3 linked regions of the Anolis sagrei genome follow. The protein of the gene in region 3 purifies or fractionates together with the protein of the main gene of each other region. This does not show direct contact. Links are inferred from orthologs where the notes say so. Each region holds a gene or a part of one and is shown on either strand. Other genes may lie near its edges.

Region 1 (6,925 bases), on a different chromosome or scaffold from region 3:
GAGGATGGCTAAATTCAAGATAGTGGTCCTTTCAAAACACCTCATGTTCTAGATCCAGTATTACTGTTAAGAGCACCTTTATCTTTCTTTCTATTCCTTTTTTTGGGTGGAAAGCTCTTCATTACAGGCCTTTGCTGCAAATATCTGCAAAAAAAAAAAAACCCAAAAAAGAGCAACCAATGTGATGTTACAGAACTAAGAGATGGCACCTTCCTTTGTAAATGAATGGTCAAGATGTTCCTTTTCAAGCCTTATACCTCTTCCTTTTTCACTGAAACAAATATTAAAACATGAGGTTCATAACTGCACACATGCTCTTGGCTTTTGTGGTAGTTTATTCAGTTGTAAAGCAGTTATGAAACATTATCACTGCCTGATCTTGATAAAGTTTGTGGAAGAGGTTAAACAAAGGCAAGATATGGGCTGTTCCCATTATTCCTTGGAATGAGATGAATAGAGAGCAATCACCTCAGGCACACATTTCTCCACATAAAAACACTTATAACACAACAAAGAATAATAATTCTTGGTACCTCGATTTTTAGGCCTGTTCCTAAAAACTGGGGCACTGTTTCAGAAAATTGCATTGGATAGCCACATCAGCTCTAATTTCTTCAATATGGTTATCATGGCAACTGGTAGATGGCATATATTGCAGCTCAAAAACCTGAAATACAGACAGTATAGGGGAAACTGGTGCCATTTCTGGAATCAGAAGGTTAAATATACCCAGAAATAGGACTAACATTTGAGGTGCCAAAATGTGTGCTGCCCAGTATTGTTTATAACTGTAGCTCTGCAGGTTATTATAGTAATGGATGTTGAATTTGAATGCTTTGATATCATCATCATAGACCACGACATGCAAGTGTGGAAAAGAACAAACCACTGACCACCTACTAAAATGCAGTCTGAGCCCTGCCACATGCACAATGGAGGACCTTCTTACAGTAACATCAAAGGCATTACAAGTGGCCAGCTTCTGGTCAAAGGAAATTTAGCATAATTCCAAGTTTTTAACTTTGTAGTCTTTGATACATTATAACTGTATTCTCAATTTGCTTCTAACACAAAAATAAATAAAATCATAGACTATCATTTGTGGTTGAGTATGATTGCCTTCCAAGTGTAGGGTCTCGATGGTGGATCTGTAGGTGACTGTATAGACCTATTCCTGATTTGCATGTTCAATTGCAGCGAGAACATAGATTTCCAGATGGAAAGTGGTCCTGACAACAATTGGCTTGATGTGCCTTCCTTTATCCCTTTCGCCCTTTTATCCTGTACATGTGGCCCGCCCACTGTTATCGTGATTGTGTTTATTGGAATGTTATTTTGTTACTGTATTCATTTTTTTCTTTTTATGTAATTTTGATGATGTTGCTTGTTGTTTATGTTTTGGTTTTATTTTGCTGTAATATGTTGTCTGGGCTTGGCCCCATGTAAGCCGCTCTGAGTCCCCATTGGGGAGATGGTGGCGGGGTATAAATAAAGTTTATCATTATTATTTTATTATTAAACCATGTTTAATCTCTTTAATAATACATACGAGGACCTTTAGATTTTTTTATTAGAACTTTAGAATTCGGAGATTGAATATGCCACTTTACCTACAGCAGTGCTTCTTAACCTGTGGGTTGCAGCCCACCAGTGGGCCATGAGGATGAAAATCTAGTCCGCGAGCCTCCTTCCTCTTTATTTTATTTCCGCTCTTTCGCGCTGTCTGCCACTCCCTGCTTCTGACCATGGCATATGTTCTGTATCAGAACTAGAGCTGATGTGGTCTAGCCAATACAATTTTCTGAATCAGCACACCAAACCAAATCTAAGTTGATCAAAAACTGATTTGTAACCCTTTTGGTACTAATGTTGGAGAGTGGCTCCTGGTCATAGTCAATAGTCAAGTGGTCCCTGGTCAAAAAAAGGTTGGGAACCACTCATCTATAGCAATTGCTGTATTTTATTGTTTTTACTAGGGGATACTGTATATTTATGATGTGTTGACTGTTTATTGTCTTATGTTTCGTTTTGCACTTGTATTTTGCATGCCACACCTTGAGTGTTCTGTGAGCCATCCCGAGTCCCTCTGGGAGATGATGGCAGGGTAGAAATAAACTATTATTATGGCCTTGCAGCTTCAAAGCATAGCTGATTGCTGTCTGGGGAGGTCCTTTGTTTAGCTGGGAGAAGAGAAGGTGGATAGGGAACATGAAAACCATGTTTCAAGATTTAAAAGGTTGCCCCATTGAGGTGGGGAGTGGGGAACTGACTTTCTGCTGCTCTGGAGACCAGGGCATAGGGGAGCAATGGTTTCAAAAGGCAGGGGAAAAGATTTGACTGAAAACATTAGGAAGAAATTCCTGATTGGTGGAGACGAGAGACAGGGCCTTCTCAACTGTGGCTCCCTGTCACAGACAGGGAGCAAGTGTTGAGAAGGCCCTGTCTGTGGAATTCCCTCCCCAAAGACATCAGACTGGCCACCTCCCTCCTGTCCTTTAGAAGAAAACTCAAGACTTGGCTGTGGGACCTTGCATTTGACCATTGAACAGCGGGTTGTATGAAGACATCAGCAATTTTGAAGTGACAATGAATTGACCTGGGTTTTAATTGGCGTGTTTTATTTAATATTTAATGTTTTGTTTTAATGAATGTGTTGATTATTCTTATCATCATGATGGCACCGAATGGTGTTTGCTGTGAGGCCGCCCTGAGTCCCCCCTCGGGGGTGAGAAGGGCGGGGTACAAGTATATGAAATAAATAAATAAATAAGAGTGGCATAGGCTGCCTGGCAGTACGATGGGGTGGTGCCCCTGGTGGCAGAGTGGGTTAAACCCGTGTGCCGGCAGGACTGAAGACCGACAGGTTGTAGGTTCGAATTCGAGGAGAAGTGGATGAGCGGGGACATGAGAGAAGCCTCCCATAAGGATGATAAAAACATAAAATCATCCAGGCGTCCCCTGGGCAATGTCCTTGCAGACGGCCAATTCTCTCACACCAGAAGCGACTTGCAGTTTCTCCAGTCGCTCCTGACACGACCAAAAAAAAAAAAGTATGATGGGAGTTTCCTTCTCTGGAGGCTCTTCAGCAGCGATCCTTTGTTTGGAGTGTTAGCTGTCCTGACTGATTCTTGTCTGGAATTCCCTTTACAGATACATAAACCTCACTGGCCTAGTTTCCAACAGACTTGGAGGATGCCTGGCATAGTTGTGGGCGAAACGTCGAGAGAGAATGCTTCTGGAACATGGCCACACAGCCATGAAAGCCTTCGACAACACATTGTCCTATTTGCCTCTCTCTCAGCCCTTCTCATCGGGGCGCGCGAACGCGCGTGAAGGAGCCACGCTGAGGAGAAAGGCCGAAAAGCGAGGGAATGGAGACTGCCTTCGCGCTTGACAAAACGCCCAAGCGCCAGTCTTGCCTGAAGAGAAGGCTGGAGGCACCGCGAAGAAACGCAACGGCTCCCCCGCAATGGCTCCGCGAGAGCGAGGCAGGCAGGCGGCACAAGGCGAGGCCTCCGGGAGAAGCGGGCACGCGCCTCTCCGCCTCGCTCCCTTTCCATTCAGGCCACAAGAGGGGAGGGGGCGGCGTTAGGAGCGGCCCTCTACCGCGCGAGCAGCGGAAATAACTGCCACTCCCCGCCCCCTCCCCCTCCCAAACATTCCAGAACCTTCCGCGACGTAGCCTACAGCTTTAGGAGGAAAAGCGAACAGAACATGCGCGGAAAGGAAAGCGAGATTGAGAGAGAGGAGAGAGAGAGGGGGGGGGAGAAAAGCGCATGCGCAGAGTAGGTGGGTGCAGGGGGATGTGGCCGAGCAGCAGAGAAAGGAAGGAGGCGCCGGGGCACGTGACAGCCCGCAGGCGAGGAGGCGGCGGCGGCGGCGGCGCGCGGGGCCGGCTCTGCGCAGGCGGCATGGGAGGCGCGCGCCGGCGACGTCACATGGGTGGGTGCGTGCGCACGCTGTCCTCTCCACGATTTGATTCTAGAGCACAACAAGACAGGGAAGGGAGAGAGGAGGGGAGGGGGGGGGGAGCGCGCCCATGGCTTCGCTCGGTGACTGATTGACGGACTGACTGGGACGGAGACAGGCCCCGGATGGCGGGAAGCGCCGAGGAAGACTCCGAACAAGGTCTGTCTGGCGTGGGGCCGCGAATCCGGGAGTGGAGGATGGAGGAGGAAAAGGTTCTCTCGCGCGCAATTTTCCCGCGTGGCTCGCACACATCTCCTGCCTATGGAGGAGGCTGGCAAAAATGGACACCCGCGGGCGAGGGCCTTGTCGGAGGCCCTTGGGGGGGGGGGGGAGGCGTGATCGCGTCGTTTCCTCGCGTGCCATGGAGGCGCATCTCGCCACGCGGGGCGCTCCCCATTCGAAGCTTGTTGGCCTCCGAGGGGCCAGGGGAGCGGGGCTTGTTATGGGGCGCCGGGCGCTTTTGCTCAGGCCTTCCCTCGGCCTGTTGGTGGCTGAAGTCCGCCGGCTAATCACCCCACGCAGCTCTGCTTCTGGCGGGGGAAGGGAGGGAGGCCAGCAAGTGTTGTTCCTTGGGACGGAAGGCTTCCTTCCCACTAGAACAGTGGAAAGAAATACATAATCAAAAGAAAACGAGGGTGGAGGCGCTTTAAGGCAGTGGTTCTCAGCCTTCTAAATGTCGCAACCCCATAATTCAGGTCCTCACGTTGTGGTGACCCCCAACCATAACATTATTTTCATTGCTACTTCATAACTATGATTTTGCTACTGTTATGAATCGTGATGTAAATATCTGATATTCAGGATGCATTTTCATTCACTGGACCAATTTTGGCACAAATACCCTATATGCCCAAATTTGGTGGGTTTGGGGAGATTAATTTTGTCATCTGGGAGTGGTAGTTGCTGGGGTTTATAGTTAACCTGCAATCAAAGAGCATTCTGAACCACACCAATGAAAGAATTGAACCAATCTTGGCACACAGAACTCCCATGACCAACAGAAAATACTGGAAGGGTTTGATAGGCATTGACCTTAAGTTCTGGAATTGTAATTCACCTACATCCAGAGAGCACTGTGGACTTAAGCAATGATAGATCTGGACCAATACTCAATATGCTCAAATGCGAACACTGGTTTAGTTTGGGGAAAATAGACCTTGACATTTGGGAGTTGTAGTTGTTGGGATTTATAGTTCACCTACAATCAAAGAGTGTTCTGAACCCTACCAGCGATAGAATTGGGCCAAACTTCCCACACAGAATCCTCATGACCAACAAAATACTGTGTTTTCTGATGGTCTCTGACACCCCCTCGAACCCCCCCCCCCCCCGGGGTCCTGACACCCAAGTTGAGAAATGCTGTATTAGGACTTCCAGGGCTGTGACCACATCGCTTTTCCAAGTGTTTTGTGCTTCAGGTCCCAGAATCCCATATTGTTGGCCAAGACAGTTGAGGCTTCAGGGACTTGGAATTCCAAAACACTTGGAGATCTAGAGCAGGCATGGGCAAACTTCAGCCCTCGGAGTGTTTGGACACCAAGTCCCTCCCACAATTCCTAACAGCCGATAGTGATGTTGAAGTCCAAAACACCCAGAGGGCCAAAGTTTGCCTGTGCTGGCCTTATAGGATTCTGTAGCATTCAGTCAAGGCAATTAAATGGGTGTCAAAACTGCATTAATTCTGCAGCGTGGAACCACTCCTGGTCAGAAGGTCACAAGCACTGATTGGCTGAATATTGGTGGATTGTTTCAGAATCTCCATCTTCAAGCATGTTGCGGGACCACTTGTTTGTAACCTTGTCTTAAGTGTGAAAAGTTAAGTCTTAGGATTCATCAGATGTGCTTTCTTTCTATTAAGTACTTTAAACAAATGTTAACAATATTTGTTGATCAGCACTAACATCAAGCAAAATCCTAATATTTCAATATAATATATTCTTACTAGTATTCAAATCCAGGGAGCGGGGTGAGCTCCTGCTGTTAGGCCCAGCTTCCGCCAACTTAGCAGTTCGAAAACATGCAAATGTGAGTAGATTGATAGGGACCACCCCAAACGGGAAGGTAACGGTGCTCCATGCAGTCATGCCGTTCACATAATCTTAGAGGGGTCTATGGACAACGCCAGCTCTTCGACTTAGAAATTGAGATGAGCACCACCACCAGAGTCGGACAGATGTCAAGGGGAAACTTTTACCTTTTTTATTCATTGATCTATCTCAGTGGTTCCCAACCTTTGGTCTTTCCTGTGTTTTGGACTTCAACTCCCAGAAATCCCAAACAGTTTGGGCTTCCAGAAATCTCAGCCTATTAGGAATTGTGGGATCTAAAGTCCAAAACATCCAAAGGGCCAAAGGTTGGAAACCACTGATGATCTGTATGTTGAGTGAGAGGCAGTGTCCTGTAACGGTTTGAACATTGGGCTATGGCTCTGGAAACCAGGATCCAAATCCTCACTCAGCTATGGAAACCCACTGGATGTCCTTGGGGAAATTTCATTATCTAAGGACTTGAAATTATTTGAAGACACACAACAAGAAGTGTATGTGCAGGTTTTTCAAAATGGTACTGCAACAAGTTAGATTGTGATACAATAAAAGCATAAAACAGCTAAAATCAGCGTCAGAATTATACATGTTGAGTGCTCACTTACTTAGGCAATCCCTCGTTGGCCGAGTAGAATAGTCTTCCGGGGCAGTATTCTTGTTGGTTCCTTAGGTGGCTGTGGCGTCCTCTTCTTGATCTGCATCTTCTCCTGCAGTGAAGGCATTGATTTCCAGGTGGAAGGCAGTCTCGGTTGGGGTTGGCTTGACGCGCCTTCCTCTTGGCACGTTTCTCTCTTTCACCCTCCATTCGTGCCTCTTCAAATTCTGCAGCACTGCTGGTCAAAGCTGACCTCCAGCTGAAGCGCTCAAGGGCCAGGGCTTCCCAGTTCTCAAAGTCTATGCCAGAGTTTTTA
Region 2 (7,820 bases), on a different chromosome or scaffold from region 3:
GATGGTAAAGTGGAAGCTCCCGCTGTGGCCAAAATCGAGCATACCCTCATGAAGCTGGAAAGCTGGAATGTTAAATTGCCTCTGTGTCTATCTATATATGTTGAATGTCTAATAGCATTGAATGTTTGCCATGTATATGTGAATTGTAATCCACCCTGAGTCCCCTATGGGGTGAGAAGGGTAGAATATAAATACTGTAAATAAATAAATAAGCAAATAAGTGTGAAAGCATCTGTGGACCCTTCTAGGCAGTCATATAAACCAGAATATCAAGGCAGAAAATCACTGCTTTGAACTGGGTTATCTGAGTCCACACTGCCATATATTCTAGTTCAAAGTAGATAATGTGGGATTTTATTCAGATGTGTGGAAGGGGCCCATGTGTCCAAAATGCTCATCCTGTAACAAATGTGACATAATCATGCTATTACACTATGTAACATAATTTTTGTTCCTGGGTTATAAATGTCACTTTCAAAGTGGGTTGTATCATTAAAAACATTGAAAAAGTTTGTTAAACTACAAAAACAAAAACATCTTTGCGGGACATCCTGCTATAGTTTTTCAATGGATATCTCAAGTCTCACCCAATTCAACATAATTTATGGCAGCCACAAAAAACAAAGTTTCTGGAGTAGAACAACTATTTTCAAACTAAGTTCTGCACAATTAAACTGGGAATAACACTTTCCAACCTGGAAAATATATTTTTCAAGTTTTGCTACATAGTGTTATTTATATCTCCACTTTTGAATGAGACTCAACGCTGATACAGGGGATATTGGTACAAAGGCTTTATGGATAATCTGTAACAATGTTTGCTCTTGAAATAATTCCTCCAACAAAAGAGATAGGAACGCTGGCAGGAAAAGTGGACAAAAAGGTCCTCCACAAAGGTAGTAAAAAGCGAGGAGATCTAGCTTCTTGTATATAAATACATAGCTATAGACCTTTCGTGTTCTAGCTTTCTAAACATACATGACAGAAAAGCAGAACACAAATAATGAAGAAACTAAGGGCCCTTCCACACAGCCATATATCTCAGAATATCAAGAAAGAACATCCCACAATATCTGCTTTGAAGTGGGTTATCTGAGGCCACACTGCCATATATTCCAGCAGAGGCTGGATGGCCATCTGTCTGGGCTGCTTTGAATGCAATTTTCCTGCTTCTTGGCGGGGGGTTGGGCTGGATGGCCCACAAGGCCTCTTCCAACTCTATATGGTAGCGAGGACTGAGACAACCCAGTTCAAAGCAGATATTGTGGATTACCTGCCTTGATATTCTGGGGGCCCTTCCATTCAGCAATATCCCAGAATACTTGTAAGGTAGGTAAACAAACACAATATAGTCAATGCAATAGGAGAACTGTAATGACCATACAGTGTTCCTTCACTTACTGTGGGTGTTACGTTCCAGGACCTCCCGCAATAAGTGAAAAACTGTGATGTAGGGACTTGCTATTTATCTTAATATTTATACATTATTTTAGGAGTTATATGCTATTTTAAGTCTTTATACACTTAAAAAAAGTGAAGGAAAGGAAGGAAAGGCCCTTCAAGGCTGGAGGGAGGACTGAGGAGGGAAAGCGCCTTGGAGAGCAGCAGCAACAAAAACCCACAAAACAGCAAAAAAACAAACAAACAAACAAACACCCTGCGATATATATTTTAAATTAATATTTTTTGAAAACTGCAAAACAGCGAGCCTGCTGAAACCGAACCGTGAAGTAGTGAGGGAACACTGTATAGGATATAGTGACAGTGAATTGGGGGTTTTGGTGTCACTATATGCTATACTGCATAGACTATATTGTGTTTGTTTACGGCCCTTCCACACAGCCATATCAAAGCAGAAGATCCCACAATACCTGCTTTGAACTGGGTTATCTGAGGGCCCTTCCACACAGCCCTATATCCCTGAATATCAAGGCAGATAACCCACAATATCTGCTTTGAATTGAGTTATTTGAGTCCATATAATCCAGTTCAAGGAGCCCCTGGTGGCACAGTGGGCTAAAGCGCTGAGCTGATGAGCTTGTTGACTGAAAGGTCACAGATTTGAATCCCAGGAACAGCGTGAGCTTCCGCTGTCAGCCCCAGCTTCTGCCAAACTAGCAGATCAAAAACATGCAAATGTGAGTAGATCAATAAATATCGCTCCGGTGGGAAGGTAATGGTGCTCCATGCAGTCATGCCTATGGCCACATGACCTTGGAGGTGTCTATGGACAATGCTGGCTCTTTGGCTCAGAAATGGAGATGAGCACCACACTTGAGAGATGGACACGACTGGATGTCATGTCAGGGAAAAAGCTTTACCTTTTCCTAACCCAGTTCAAAGCAAATACTGTGGGGTTGTATACAGCTGTGTGGAAGGGGCCTGAGTCCACGCTGCCATATATCCCAGTTCAAAGCAGATAATGTGGGATTGTCTACAGCTGTGTGGAAAGCCCCTTAGGCCCATCTACACTGTGGAATTGAGGCAGTCTGGCCCTGCTTTATGGCTCAAGGCCCTGGGAGTTGCAGATGGGTGTGCTCTTTCCCCCTTTCCCCTCCAAGCCAGAAAAGGGAAGAGTGCCTCCAAGTGCAGTCATGCTGGCCACATGACCTTGGAGGTGTCTACGCACAATGCCAGGGTGGAGTGAGCACCCAAAAGGAAAGAGCCCGGCCTCGTCCTGGTTGTTTTCAGGCTAGGTCCAGAGAAAGAGATTTCCCCTCCTCCTTTCCTCTTTGTGGCTTTTCTCCCACCCAGGAAAAATTCCCAGACCCTGCCAAAGGAGAGGCGCTTCTAAGCAACCCAGCCAAGAGGGAAGACTCACTTCCTGCCAGTCCAGCGACTCCTCCAAGCTCTCGGGCGAGACCGGGGCCGCCATCCTGGCCCAGCCTCTTCCTCCTCCTCTTCCTTTTCCTCCTCTGATGGGAGGAGGAGCCGCGGGTGACGAGGCAGAGGCAGCCAGCAGGGCCCGCCTCCAGTGGCTTCCCCATCCCCGCCAGCTCTCCATGTTGGACAGAGACTGAGAATCCTCCATAGGGACTACCAAACGCAGCGTTGCCCCAACCTGAATCAAGGAACAGACTAAGCCAACCAGAGAAGTCAGCCATAGCAGAGCACCTAATCAGCCAACCTGGGCACAGCATATTATTTGAGAACACAGAAGTGCTGGACCAGCCTCAACCAGCATGTCAGGATACACAGAGATGCTATTGAAATCCACAAGCATGGGATCAATTTCAACACAAAGGAGAAAACCATGAAAATGAACAAAATCTGGCTACCAGTATTTAAAAAAACTCTAAAATCAGGACAGTCAATAAAGAGCAACACTCAGGGGAATTCCTGACATGAAACAATCAAGGCCAGCTAACACCTCCCAACAAAGGATTCCCCAGGCAGGAATCAGCCAGTCTTTGCAGCTGCAGTGCTAATCAAGGTGGCCATTTGCAACATTCACATCTATATAAATATAAATGTAATGTCCGTTTGTGGGATTAACATAATTCAAAACCCACTGGACGAATTGACACCAAATTTGGACACAACACGTATCAGGCCAAAGAGTGACCATCACTAAAAAAATATGATTTTGTCATTTGGGAGTTGTAGTTGTTGGGATTTATAGTTCACCTAAATTAAAGCATTCTGAACCCCACCAATGATAGAATTGAACCAAACTTCCCACACAGAACCCCCATGACCAACAAAAAATACATAAGGCCATCCAGTCCAACTCCCTTCACCATGGCAAGAAAATGTAATCAAAACCCTCCTGACAAAGAGCCACCCAACCATAGATATAGATACATATGATTGACACACACAGAGATATAGTATCCTAGATTTGAAAAAAAAGGACAATGATATGTTGCCTGTTTCTGTGTAGGCAAACCTGACAATCTCTACATCAACACTGACAAAGAAACAGCAAGAAATACTGTTTACCCACAAGCAGCAATAAATTATATATATTACAATCCAACACTTTCTCATTACTTCATTTTCCAGATCACCAGACTGGGCCACAGCAACGCCTGGCAGGGGAAGACTAATTCAATTATAAAAGTAAATAAAGAACAAATCTCAAACACAGGGAAACTCTAGTCAGGAAACAATCAGAGACAGCTAATCACCTCTCAACAAAGGATTCCCCCAGGCAGTAACAAGTCACACTTAAAAACTTTCAGGCCATCAAATGCTAATGGTCCTTTGAAACATTCATAGCTAGCTCCAACAGACAAGAGTTCTTTCTCCCACCCTGGATTTTCTACTGATAAGTTGTTAATTTGTTCAGTTGCTTCCTACTGAATGAATGGACCAGCTCACAGCAGAGCTCTCAGCTCCTTCAATGTCAATCCAGTCACTTCAAGGATGCCATCCATCCATCTTGCCCTTGGTCGGCCCCTCTTCCTTTTCCCTTCCATTTTTCCCAGCAACATTCTCTTCTCCAAGCTTTCCTTTCTTCTCATGATGTGTCCAAAATACTGCATCTTGGCCTCTACTATCCTTCCCTCCAGTGAGCGGTCGGGCTTTATTTCCTGAAGTATGGATTGGTTGCATCTTCTGGCAGTCCAAGGCACTCTCAAACTTTCCTCCAGCACCACAGTCCAAAAGCATCTCTCTTCCTTTGCTCAGCCTTTCCTATGGTCCAGCTCTCACATCCATACAGGGAATACCATTGCTTTTACTATGCTTTTACTATTCCATTGATATATAAACCCAATATTCCTAGTTTCTAACAGACCTCACAACAAGCTTGGGCATCTTTAGTGTTTGCCTTTTTTGGTATGGGGATATAAATTGATTTTTTCCAATCTGATGTCAATTCTTGTGCTTTCCATATTTGCTGGCATATGGCATACGTGCATCACCTTGACAGCATCCTCTTTCAAGATTTTAAACAGTTCAGCTGGGATCTCGTCATCTCCTGCTGCCTTGTTATTAGCAATGCTTCTTAAGACCCATTCAACCTCACCTCTCAGGATGTTTGGTTCTATTTCACTCACCACACCGTCAAAGTTATCCTCAATACTATTATCCTTTTTATACAGATCTGCCACCTTCTCTTGATCTCTTCAGCTTCTGTTCGGTCCTTGCCTATAGAATACTGGAGTGTTCTTGGGCCCCACTAAATGCAAAGACTGAATTTTATGGAATTGTCTCATGTCAGTTAAAGTGGAATAATAGCACTATAACTATAGTGTGTAAGGAGCCCCCAGTGGTGCAGTGGGTTAAACCCTTGTGCCAGCAGGATTGAAGACCAACAGGTCACAGATTCGAATCTGGGGATAGCATGGATGAGCTCCCTCTTTCAGCTCCAGCTCCCCATGTGGGGACATGAGAGAAGTCTCCCACAAGGATGGTAGAACATCAAAAACATCAAAAACTGCACAACGTCTTTGCAGACAGCCAATTATCTCACACCAGAAGCAACTTGCAGTTTCTCAAGTTGCTCCTGACAAGAAAAAAAATTATAAGTCTAACGTAGATGATCATCAGTGGCTTTCAGTTAGTTCAAGTTGTTTCTTCCTTATTGTCCACCAGAGGGCAGCAATGTTATTTCCTAAGATTGTCATAACACTAGGTAACAAAATTTTTGTTCCTATGTTATAAATGTCGTTTCCTAATTGGTTCATTCATAAAACATGGAAAAAGTTTATTAAACTGAAATTTTTGTCCCTGTAGGACTTCCTGCATCACATTTGCTCTAGTTTTTCAATGCTTATCGCATCAAATCTCAACCAATTCAATATAGGGTTGCTGTGAGTTTTCCAGGCTGTATAGCCATGTTCCAGAAGCATTCTCTTCTGACATTTCACCCACATCTATGGCAGGCGTCCTCAGAAGTTGTGAGGTCTGTTGGAAACTAGGCAAGTGAGGTTTAGGGTGGGAGAAAGAACGCTTGTCTGCTTGAGGCAAGTGTGAATGTTGCAACTGGCCACCTTGATTAGCATTGGGTGGCCTTGCAGCTTCAAAGACTGACTGATTCCTGCCTGGGAAATCCTTTGTTGGGAGATGTTAGCTGGCTTTGATTATTTCATGTCAGGAATTCCTCTGAGTGTTGCTCTTTATTGACTGTTCTGATTTTCAAGTTTTTTTAAATACTGGTAGCCAGATTTTGTTCATGTTCATGGCTTCCTCCATTCTATTGAAATGCTTGTGGATTTCAATGGTTTCTCTTTCTAGTCTGACATGGTGGTTGCTAGAGTGGTCCAGCATTTCTGTGTTCTCAAATAATATGCTGTGTCAACAGGGGAACAACAGGAAAATTCCTGACATGAAATAATCAGGGCCAGCTAACACCTCCCAACTGGGCTTAAGTGGCTGAGAAGGGAATGAAAGGGCCTGAGGCTGTTAGGAATGGTGCGAGTTGAAGTCCAAAACACCCGGAGGGCCAAAGTTTGCCCATGCCTGGTCTACACTGTCCATATAATGCAGTTCCAAATTGCATTATATGCCAATGTAGATGGGGCCTCTGAAGTAGTTTTGCTTGTATTTTCACTCCATTTCTGATGTCAAATTGCTAAAATTAAATTACTAATACAAAATAGCTAGTATTATTATTTATCATTATTGTTCATCACGGACACATTGATTTAATGTGAGCCATGATGTGTTAAAGCAACGCTCCATCTCCTCGTTGTTAATTTCCTGTCAGACATATTGCACGGCAGAGATTTTGTTGAATGATGGCTAACATGACATGTAAACGCATGAATGACACACAATTTATCTTGTGATTTATGGCAATATTTCTGGCAATCATCTGTGAACTGAAACATACACAAAAGACTTCAGGGCTGGTTGCTCACCATCAATAATGTAAAAAAAAAGATTTATGCTTGAGCTGCTAAACAAGGAGGATTGCTTTATCATTTGGCCATGCAAGATGTGGAAAGCATGATAAATTAATTTACAAATGTATCTGTCCCATCTTTGGAACTGAAAAATGACAGACATTCAAAGCATAGCACAATTATGAATTTCAGTTGACAATGAAGAAGTTCCTGATGGCCATGAAACCATGCTTTAGAAAGTTTCTATTGATCCTCCATTGTGCATGTGGCAGGGCTCAGACTGCATTGTAGTAAGTGGTCTGTGGTTTGCTCTTCTCTCCACTTGCATGTTGTGGACTCCACTTTATAGCCCCATTTCTTAAGGTTGGCTCTGCATCTCGTGGTGCCAGAGCACAGCCTGTTCAGTGCCTTCAAAGTTGCCCCTGGGCTGAGAACAGCGGTATATAAGTAAAGTAAATAAATAAATAATAAATAAAGTTGTCCAGTCTTCAGTGTGCCCAGGAGGGAGTCTCTTATCCAATCTTAGCCACTTATTGAGGTTCTGGGTTTTAGCCTGCCACTTTTGGACTCTTGCTTGCCGAGATGTTCTTCCTACTATCTCTGTAGAGCTTAGAAAGCTATTTCACGAGTTAAGGTGTTGGCATGGTTGATATCCGAACAGAGGATGGGCTGGAGATGGCAATGTCTTATTTCTTTCATTACAGTCTGGTACTTATCAATGGTTGTCAGGTGATGAAATACCGGCTAAACAGTATAATTTCTCCAGTGGTGTAGGATGTAGACATCCTGTGATAATGCGGCATGTCTCATTAAGAGCCACATCCACTGTTTTAACGTGGTGCGATGTATTCCACACTGGGCATGCGTATTCAGCAGCAGAGTAGCAAAGTGCAAGGACAGATGTCTTCATTGTGTCACTGTCCAGAGTAAAGTTAGCTAAGGTATTGCTTTTAAACTATTCAATTTTTTCTTTTGAAGTGGTAGCTAAGAATTGTACTCTTCTATGCATGGTTTGCATATTCCTTC
Region 3 (7,860 bases):
TATATATATATACTGCGCTTTGGATAGCATAAGAAAGGGCTAACATCCCTGTGGAGTTAGTTTTGCTGCCTGTGCCCTGTTCGTAAGATTTCACCTCACTTCTGCCCCTGTGATAATCAAGATTTTGAAAAATTTGGCTTGTTGTGGAAACAAGGTTAGGTGAGAAAGCTTTAGTGAAGACACCTTTTCCCCATGATAACTCGTTTAGGAATGAATTTCCCTTCCGAGGAGTAGATTTTTCTCACTTCCTGTTGTCTCATTCCCATTCTTAACTATGAGTCGCTTGTAAGTTGGATGTTTGTAACTTGGGGACTGACTGTATAAAATGTTTATTAAATATAAATAAAATTCCTTTTAAGCCATGGGTCCCATCTTCAAGATATTATGTATGTGTATGGAAATATGGATATTCCAAAATAAAAAAAAATGAAATCCAAAACATTCCGTTTTCCAAGAATTTTAGATAAGGGATACTCAATCTATACAAGCTTTTAAAAATGCAAATATCTTCACTAGGTCAAACAAAAATTAAGCATGCATGCAAAGGCAGAGAGAGGAACTTATTTCATCTTAAACTAGGACTTTATTTTATCAGCGATAATGTTCCCATTAACTGAAGACAAATTATCCAAACTGATTTTTTTTACTTGCTTTGACTTAGTAATAATAATAATAATAATAATAAGTTTATTTGTACCCTGCCACCATCTCCCCGAAGGGACTTGGATTGGCTCACAGAAGCACTGTGAAGTGCCGTATATAAAACAACAATACACAAGCATATAAACAACAATATAAGTCTAAGAACAACGAACACACATAAAAAACCCATCTCAAAAAATTGTAAAATTTATAAAACGCAGTAGAACTTATCCCCAAATATGTATCTGGAGATTAAAGACACTGTGATCTTCACAGTAGATAAAGGCAAATGTTAAGTTCTCAAATGATCTCTTTATATTATCAAATGGAGAAATAAATGTTATTGTCATTCTCCTTAAAGACTATATATATGCGATGAATAAACTTTTGCCTTGGTTTTCACAGAATTTTGAGATTTTTAGTTTGGCCCCAAAAAGCTATTACAGGTTGAGTATCCATTATCAAAAATGCTTAAAATCAGAAGTGTTTTGGATTACTGATTTGGATTTTGGTATACTGTAGACTCTATTACCTGGAACTCAAGCAACCGGCAATAAATAAAGAAATAAATCCAATAATAGTGAATTCACAAATCTGTTTTTACAATACTGTACAGTAAAACTGTGTTACATTGAGCTTGTATTTATTTACTTTTAATTACTGTATTTCAATAATATTGGAGCCCCTGGTGGCACAATGGGTTAAACCCTTGTGCAGGCAGGACTGCCGACTGAAAGGTTGGCGGTTCAAATCTGGGGAGTGGGGCAAGCTCCTGTCTGCTAGCTCCAGCTTCCCATGTGGGGGACAAGAGAGAAGCCTCCCACAGGATGGTAAAACATCTGGGTGTCCCCTGGGCAACATCCTTGCAGACGGGCAATTCTCTCACACTAGAAGCAACTTGCAATTTCTCAAGTCGCTACTGACATGAAAAAAATTAATATCAAGTCAATACAGAGTTTTTGGTATGGCACAGTGTGGGATATAACAGGCATGGACAAACTTTGGCCCTCTAGGTCTTTTGGACTTCCAGCAACTCCCATAGGGCCGAAGCTTGACTATGCCTGACATCTTTGCTTTGCTTTGCAAAGATCCCAGGCATGGGCAAGCTTTGGCCCTCCGGCCCTCCACCAGACTTGAAGCGATGTTCCTCCGCTATCAACTCCGCTGGACCAGCCACGTTGTCCGGATGCCTGACCACCGCCTCCCAAAGCAGTTGCTCTACTCCGAACTCAAGGAAAACAGAATGTTGGAGGACAGGAAAAGAGATTGAAAGATGGGCTCAAAGCCAACCTTAAAAACTCTGGCATAGACACCAAGAACTGGGAAGCCCTGGCCCTTGAGCGCTTCAGCTGGAGGTCAGCTGTGACCAGCAGTGCTGTAGAATTTGAAGAGGCACGAATGGAGGGCGAAAGAGAAACGTGCCAAGAGGAAGGCGCGTCAAGCCAACCCCGACCGGGACCACCTTCCACCTGGAAACCAATGCCCTCACTGCGGGAGAAGATGCAAGTCAAGAATAGGGCTCCACAGTCACCTATGGACCCACTGCCAGAACACTGAACTTGGAGGACCATCATTCTCGGACTATGAAGGATCGCCTAAGTAAGTAAGAAGTAGTGCCTGGAATATAGTATTCATTAGGCCTGTTTTTAATAGTCTCAAACAACCACTGAATTTACCTGGTCTTAATGGAGAACCTGCTGTATTTGCATAAACGTAAAGAGACAATCTAGGGCCCTTCCACACATCCATGCAACCCAGGATATCTAGACAGGAAATTCCACAATATTTGCTTTGAACTGGGTTATCCGAGTCCACACTGCCATATAATTCCATTCAAAGCAGATATTGTGGGATTTCCTGCCTTGATATTATGGGTTATATGGCTGTGTTGAACGGCCCTTTGAGATGGGACCTAGGCCTAAGCAAGAGATTTCATACTGAAGGCGATTTTATGCACAATATTTGTAATAATTTTTGCATGAAAACATACTTTGTGTATCCACAATCACAGGGAAGCAAAGGAGTCCCCGGCTCATCCACTCGTGTTGAGTATTTTTGGATTTCCAGGCGAGGGATGCTCACTCAACTCGTAGCACAAACCTCTCTGCCTTTTTGTGACATTCCCTTTGGCCAAGGAACACGCAACACGGAAAGCACCGCCAATGCTTTCCCTAGGGATTCATTGAGGAGGACGGAAGCTGCCTCTCGCTTCTCCACCTCGCACCAATTTCCCACAACAGCAGCAGCAGGCTTGCTTTACCTCGCTTTCATCCCGCTCCATGGCTTTCTTCCGCCCCCTCTGCAGAGAAGCGGGTACTATTTACCTCAGGCACCAAAGCAGCGCGAGCGCGAGTGCGAGCGCGCACGAGCGCTTGCGCATGCGCCCCCCGACTCGCGGGAGGCACGAGCCGCCGCCAGGAGTCAGGGCAGCTTCGCGGTCCTCGAAAGCCCATTGGCTTAGGCGCGTTCTCGCTTCCGCCAATGGGAAGAGAGGATCGGCGGTGGCAGCGGAAACACTCCGAGGGAGGGAGGAAGCCACACGCCCGCTGCCCCAAAGCATTTCGGGAGTTGTATTCCTGACCTCGCTAAAGGTTGAAGAGACGTTTGGAGGATGTCCAAGCAATTTGGTTTTGGCCCTTGAAAGGAAAACGGTCATGGTCCCTCAGTTCTGTTGTATGAGAATGGCTCCAAAGGGGGCAAAGGGAGGGAGGGAAAGGTCACCTGGACTTTGTGTTCCGGCTTCATTGGCTTCGTATTCACGACATAGACAAACAAACAGCGAGGGCAGGCTGCATTAACTTGCCATTATTAACTCCCCTTTCTGAGGGAGAGGCTTGGCCAGGCCTGAATCCCTCCCCATTGTGTGTTGTTGTTCATTCGTTCAGTCGTCTCCGACTCTTCGTGACCTCATGGACCAGCCCACGCCAGAGCTCCCTGTCGGCCGTTACCACCCCCAGCTCCCTCAAGGTCAGTCCAGTCACTTCAAGGATGCCATCCATCCATCTTGCCCTTGGTCGGCCCCTCTTCCTTTTGCCTTCCACTTTCCCCAGCATAATTGTCTTCTCTAGGCTTTCCTGTCTCCTCATGATGTGGCCAAAGTACTTCAGCTTTGTCTCTAGTATCTTTCCCTCCAGTGAGCAGTCGGGCTTTATTTCCTGGAGGATGGACTGGTTGGATCTTCTCGCAGTCCAAGGCACTCTCAGAACTTTCCTCCAACACCACAGCTCAAAAGCATCGATCTTCCTTCGCTCAGCCTTCCCTAAGGTCCAGCTCTCACATCCGTAGGTGACTACAGGGAATACCATGGCTTGGACTAGGCGGATCTTTGTTGCAAGTCTGATGTCTCTACTCTTCACTATTTTATCGAGACTGGACATTGCTCTTCTCCCAAGAAGTAAGCGTCTTCTGATTTCCTGGCTACAGTCTGCATCTGCAGTAATCTTTGCACCTAGAAATACAAAGTCTGCCACGGCCTCCACGGTTTCTCCCTCTATTTTCCAGTTGTCAATCATTCTTGTTGCCATAATCTTGGTTTTTTTGACGTTTAGCTGCAACCCGGCTTTTGCGCTTTCTTCTTTCACCTTGATTAGAAGGCTCCTCAGCTCCTCCTCGCTTTCGGCCATCAGAGTGGTGTCATCTGCATATCTGAGGTTGTTAATGTTTCTTCCAGCAATTTTCACCCCAGCTTTGCATTCATCCAGCCCCGCACATCGCATGATGTGTTCTGCATACAAGTTAAAAAGGTTGGGTGAGAGTATGCAGCCTTGCCGGACGCCTTTCCCAATCTTGAACCAGTCTGTTGTTCCGTGGTCAGTTCTGACTGTTGCTACTTGGTCCTTGTACAGATTCCTCAGGAGAGAGACAAGGTGGCTTGGTATGCCCATCCCACCAAGAACTTGCCACAATTTATTATGATCCACACAGTCAAAGGCTTTAGAATAGTCAATGAAGCAGAAGTAGATGTTTTTCTGAAACTCCCTGCCTTTCTCCATTATCCAGCGGATATTGGCAATCTGGTCTCTCGTTCCTCTGCCTTTTCTAAACCCAGCTTGAACATCTGGCAACTCTCGCTCCATGTATTGCTGGAGTCTTCCTTGCAGGATCTTGAGCATTACCTTACTGGCATGAGAAATAAGGGCCACTGTACGGAAGTTGGAGCAGTCTTTCGCATTTCCCTTTTTTGGTATGGGGATATAAGTTGATTTTTTCCAGTCTGATGGCCATTCTTGTGTTTTCCATATTTGCTGGCAAATGGCATGCATCACCTTGACAGCATCATCTTTTAAGATTTTAAACAGTTCAGCTGGGATCCCATCATCTCCTGCTGCCTTGTTGTTAGCAATGCTTCTTAAGGCCCATTCAACCTCACTCCTCAGGATGTCTGGTTCTAATTCATTCACCACACCGTCAAAGCTATCCTCGATATTGTTATCCTTCCTATACAGATCTTCTGTATAGTCTCGCCACCTTCTCTTGATCTCTTCAGCTTCTGTTAGGTCCCTGCCATCTTTGTTTCTTATCATACCAATTTTTGCCTGAAATTTACCTCCAATGTTTCTAATTTTCTGGAAGAGGTCTCTTGTCCTTCCTATTCTGTTGTCTTCTTCCACTTCCATGCATTGCTTATTTAAAAATAGTTCCTTATCTCTTCTGGCTAACCTCTGGAATTGCGCATTTAACTGGGCATATCTCCCCTTTTCACTGTTTCCTTTTGCTTTCCTCCTTTCTTGGGCTACTTCCAGTGTTTCAGCAGACAACCATTTTGCCTTCTTCGGTTTCTTTTTCTTTGGAACGTACTTTGTTGCCACCTCCTGAACAATGTCGCGGACTTCTGTCCATAGTTCTTCTGGGACTCTGTTTACTAAATCTAGTCCTTCAAATCTGTTCTTCACTTCCACTGTATATTCGCTAGGAATGTTAGTGAGATCATATCTAACTGGTCTGTGTATTTTACCTGATCTCTTTAGTTTTATTCTAAATTGGGCAATAAGAAGTTCGTGATCTGAGCTACAGTCAGCCCCAGGTCTTGTTTTCACCGACTGGATGGATGTCCGCCACCTTTGGCTGCAAAGGATGTAGTCAATCTGATTTCGGTGTTGACCATCTGGTGAGGTCCATGTATAAAGCCGTCTTTTAGGTTGTTGGAAGAGAGTATTCGTTATACACAGCGAGTTTTCCTGGCAGAATTCTATCAGCCTGCGTCCCGCTTCATTTTGTTCTCCCAGACCATGCTTGCCTGTGATCCCAGTTGTCATTTGACTTCCCACCTTGGCATTCCAGTCTCCTGTAATGAAAATAATGTCTCTTTTTGGTGTATTATCCAGTAGGTCCTGCAGATCCTCATAGAACTGATCTACTTCTGCTTCTTCAGCAGCTGTGGTTGGGGCGTATATTTGGATCACTGTGATGTTGAAAGGCTTTCCTTGCACTCGAATTGACATCATTCTGTCATTTTTTGGGTTGTATCCAAGCACCGCTTTAGCGAATTTCTTATTAATTATGAAGGCTACTCCATTTCTTCGATGTTCCTCTTGTCCGCAGTAGTAGATCTGGTGGTCATCTGATGTGAAGTGGCCCATTCCAGTCCATTTCAGTTCGCTGACCCCCAGAATGTCTATCTTTAGTCTTGACATCTCACCAATAACAACATCCAATTTGCCCTGGCTCATAGATCTTACATTCCAGGTTCCTATGGTGTGTTGATCTTTAGAGCATCGGATTCGTCGTTCGCCTCCAGTACCGTCGGCCGCTAGCCTTCCTTTCGGCTTTGAGCTAGCTGCGTCATCACATCTGGGGCTAGTTGAACTTATCCTCTGCTCCTCCCCAGTAGCATTTTGGCCATCTTCCGACCTGGGAGTCCCATCTTCCAATGGCATACCGACATATCTCTGGTTGTACTGGTCCATTTAGTTTTCTTGGCAAGGATACTGGAGTGGTTTGCCATTGCCTTCCCCAGGGATCACGCTTGGTCTGACCTCTCTGCCACAACCGTCCCGTCTTGGGTGGCCCTTCACGGTTTCGCTCATGACATCATTGAGGTGCTCAAGCTCCAGCGCCCCGACAAGGCGGCGATCCTTTGCTGGAGCCCCATTGTGTAGGGCTCATTTAATCCTAATCATAATATGTGGACAATATTGGGTTTTGGAATATTTGGATCTTTAGATAACAGATTAGCAAAGAGTTATACACAGGTTATATAAATAAACTAGCTGTCCCCTGCCACGCGTTGCTGTGGCCCAGTCTGGTGATCTGAAAAATAAAGTAAAGAGAAAGTGTTGGTTTCTGATTTACGAGGGGTATTTTTTAAGTAAGGTCCGTTTGAACGTAAGTACACAACGAAAGTTTATTTCAAAAAAGTAAATTTATTTTCAGAAAGTACATACTTCACTCTATTTTTCGACATAGTTGCCAAGTTTAGGACACTAGGACACTAAGATCATCTGGGGAGGCCCTGCTCTCGGTCCCACCTGCATCACAGGTGCGCTTGGCGGGGACGAGAGACAGGGCCTTCTCAGTGGTGGCCCCTCGGCTGTGGCACGCCCTGCCTGCAGATATCAGATTGGCCCCCTCCCTGCTGGCATTTCGGAGGAAAGTGAAGACCTGGCTGTTCGAACAAGCATTTGATTAAACAGTGTTATTGAACATAGGAATATGGAATAATGGATGACAAGACTGGATTCTGATTTTACTGTTGAGGCGCTAATGATTGTTATACTGATGTTAATGATTTATGTGATAATTGTTTTTAATTGCCCTATACTTGTTTTGTGATATTTTGTACTGATGTTGTTCACCGCTTTGAGTCGCCTGAGGGCTGAGAAAAGCGGTATAGAAATAAAGTAAATAAATAAATAATAAATAATAAATAAGTTTGTTCAAACACTTATCATACCTCTGAACCAATTTTAAAATACCCTCTTCATAAAAACTTGCCACCTGCTCCGATAACCAAGAGCTCACTGTAATCAAAGAAGGGCGACCGGAGCAGTCCTCATCATGGACGTCACGGCCATCTTTGAATTGTCGTACCCACTTACGCACTTTGTTTTCACTCATAACGGTATCACCATACACTTCACAAATCTGTCGATGAATTTCTGCAGCAGGCAGGTTCTTTGCTGACAAAAACCGTATCACTGAGTGAACCTCACATGCGGAGGGTGAGTTGATAGTCTCAAACATTTTAAAAGCACAGAACAGAACCGTACAGGTTAGATA

Evidence for each region. The genes of interacting proteins can lie anywhere in the genome.
Region 1: the proteins of L3MBTL2 (region 3) and MGA purify together in Homo sapiens (affinity purification with mass spectrometry; 3 studies listed by BioGRID and IntAct, counting the BioPlex papers as one, with this or other methods). This does not show direct contact. The link is inferred for Anolis sagrei from reciprocal best matches to the Homo sapiens genes L3MBTL2 and MGA.
Region 2: the proteins of L3MBTL2 (region 3) and E2F6 purify together in Homo sapiens (affinity purification with mass spectrometry; 5 studies listed by BioGRID and IntAct, counting the BioPlex papers as one, with this or other methods). This does not show direct contact. The link is inferred for Anolis sagrei from reciprocal best matches to the Homo sapiens genes L3MBTL2 and E2F6.

Annotation. Positions count from the first base shown.
Region 1 is NC_090021.1:288,160,483-288,167,407, reverse strand, and holds the start of MGA (MAX gene-associated protein), read left to right. Parts: upstream 1-3,906; 5' UTR 3,907-4,128; intron 4,129-6,925. UniProt on the Homo sapiens protein: Functions as a dual-specificity transcription factor, regulating the expression of both MAX-network and T-box family target genes. Functions as a repressor or an activator.
Region 2 is NC_090021.1:130,947,663-130,955,482, forward strand, and holds the start of E2F6 (transcription factor E2F6), read right to left. Parts: upstream 3,020-7,820; 5' UTR 3,005-3,019; coding exon 2,822-3,004; intron 1-2,821. UniProt on the Homo sapiens protein: Inhibitor of E2F-dependent transcription. Binds DNA cooperatively with DP proteins through the E2 recognition site, 5'-TTTC[CG]CGC-3'. Has a preference for the 5'-TTTCCCGC-3' E2F recognition site.
Region 3 is NC_090025.1:161,726,503-161,734,362, forward strand, and holds the start of L3MBTL2 (lethal(3)malignant brain tumor-like protein 2), read right to left. Parts: upstream 3,019-7,860; 5' UTR 2,924-3,018; coding exon 2,903-2,923; intron 1-2,902. UniProt on the Homo sapiens protein: Putative Polycomb group (PcG) protein. PcG proteins maintain the transcriptionally repressive state of genes, probably via a modification of chromatin, rendering it heritably changed in its expressibility.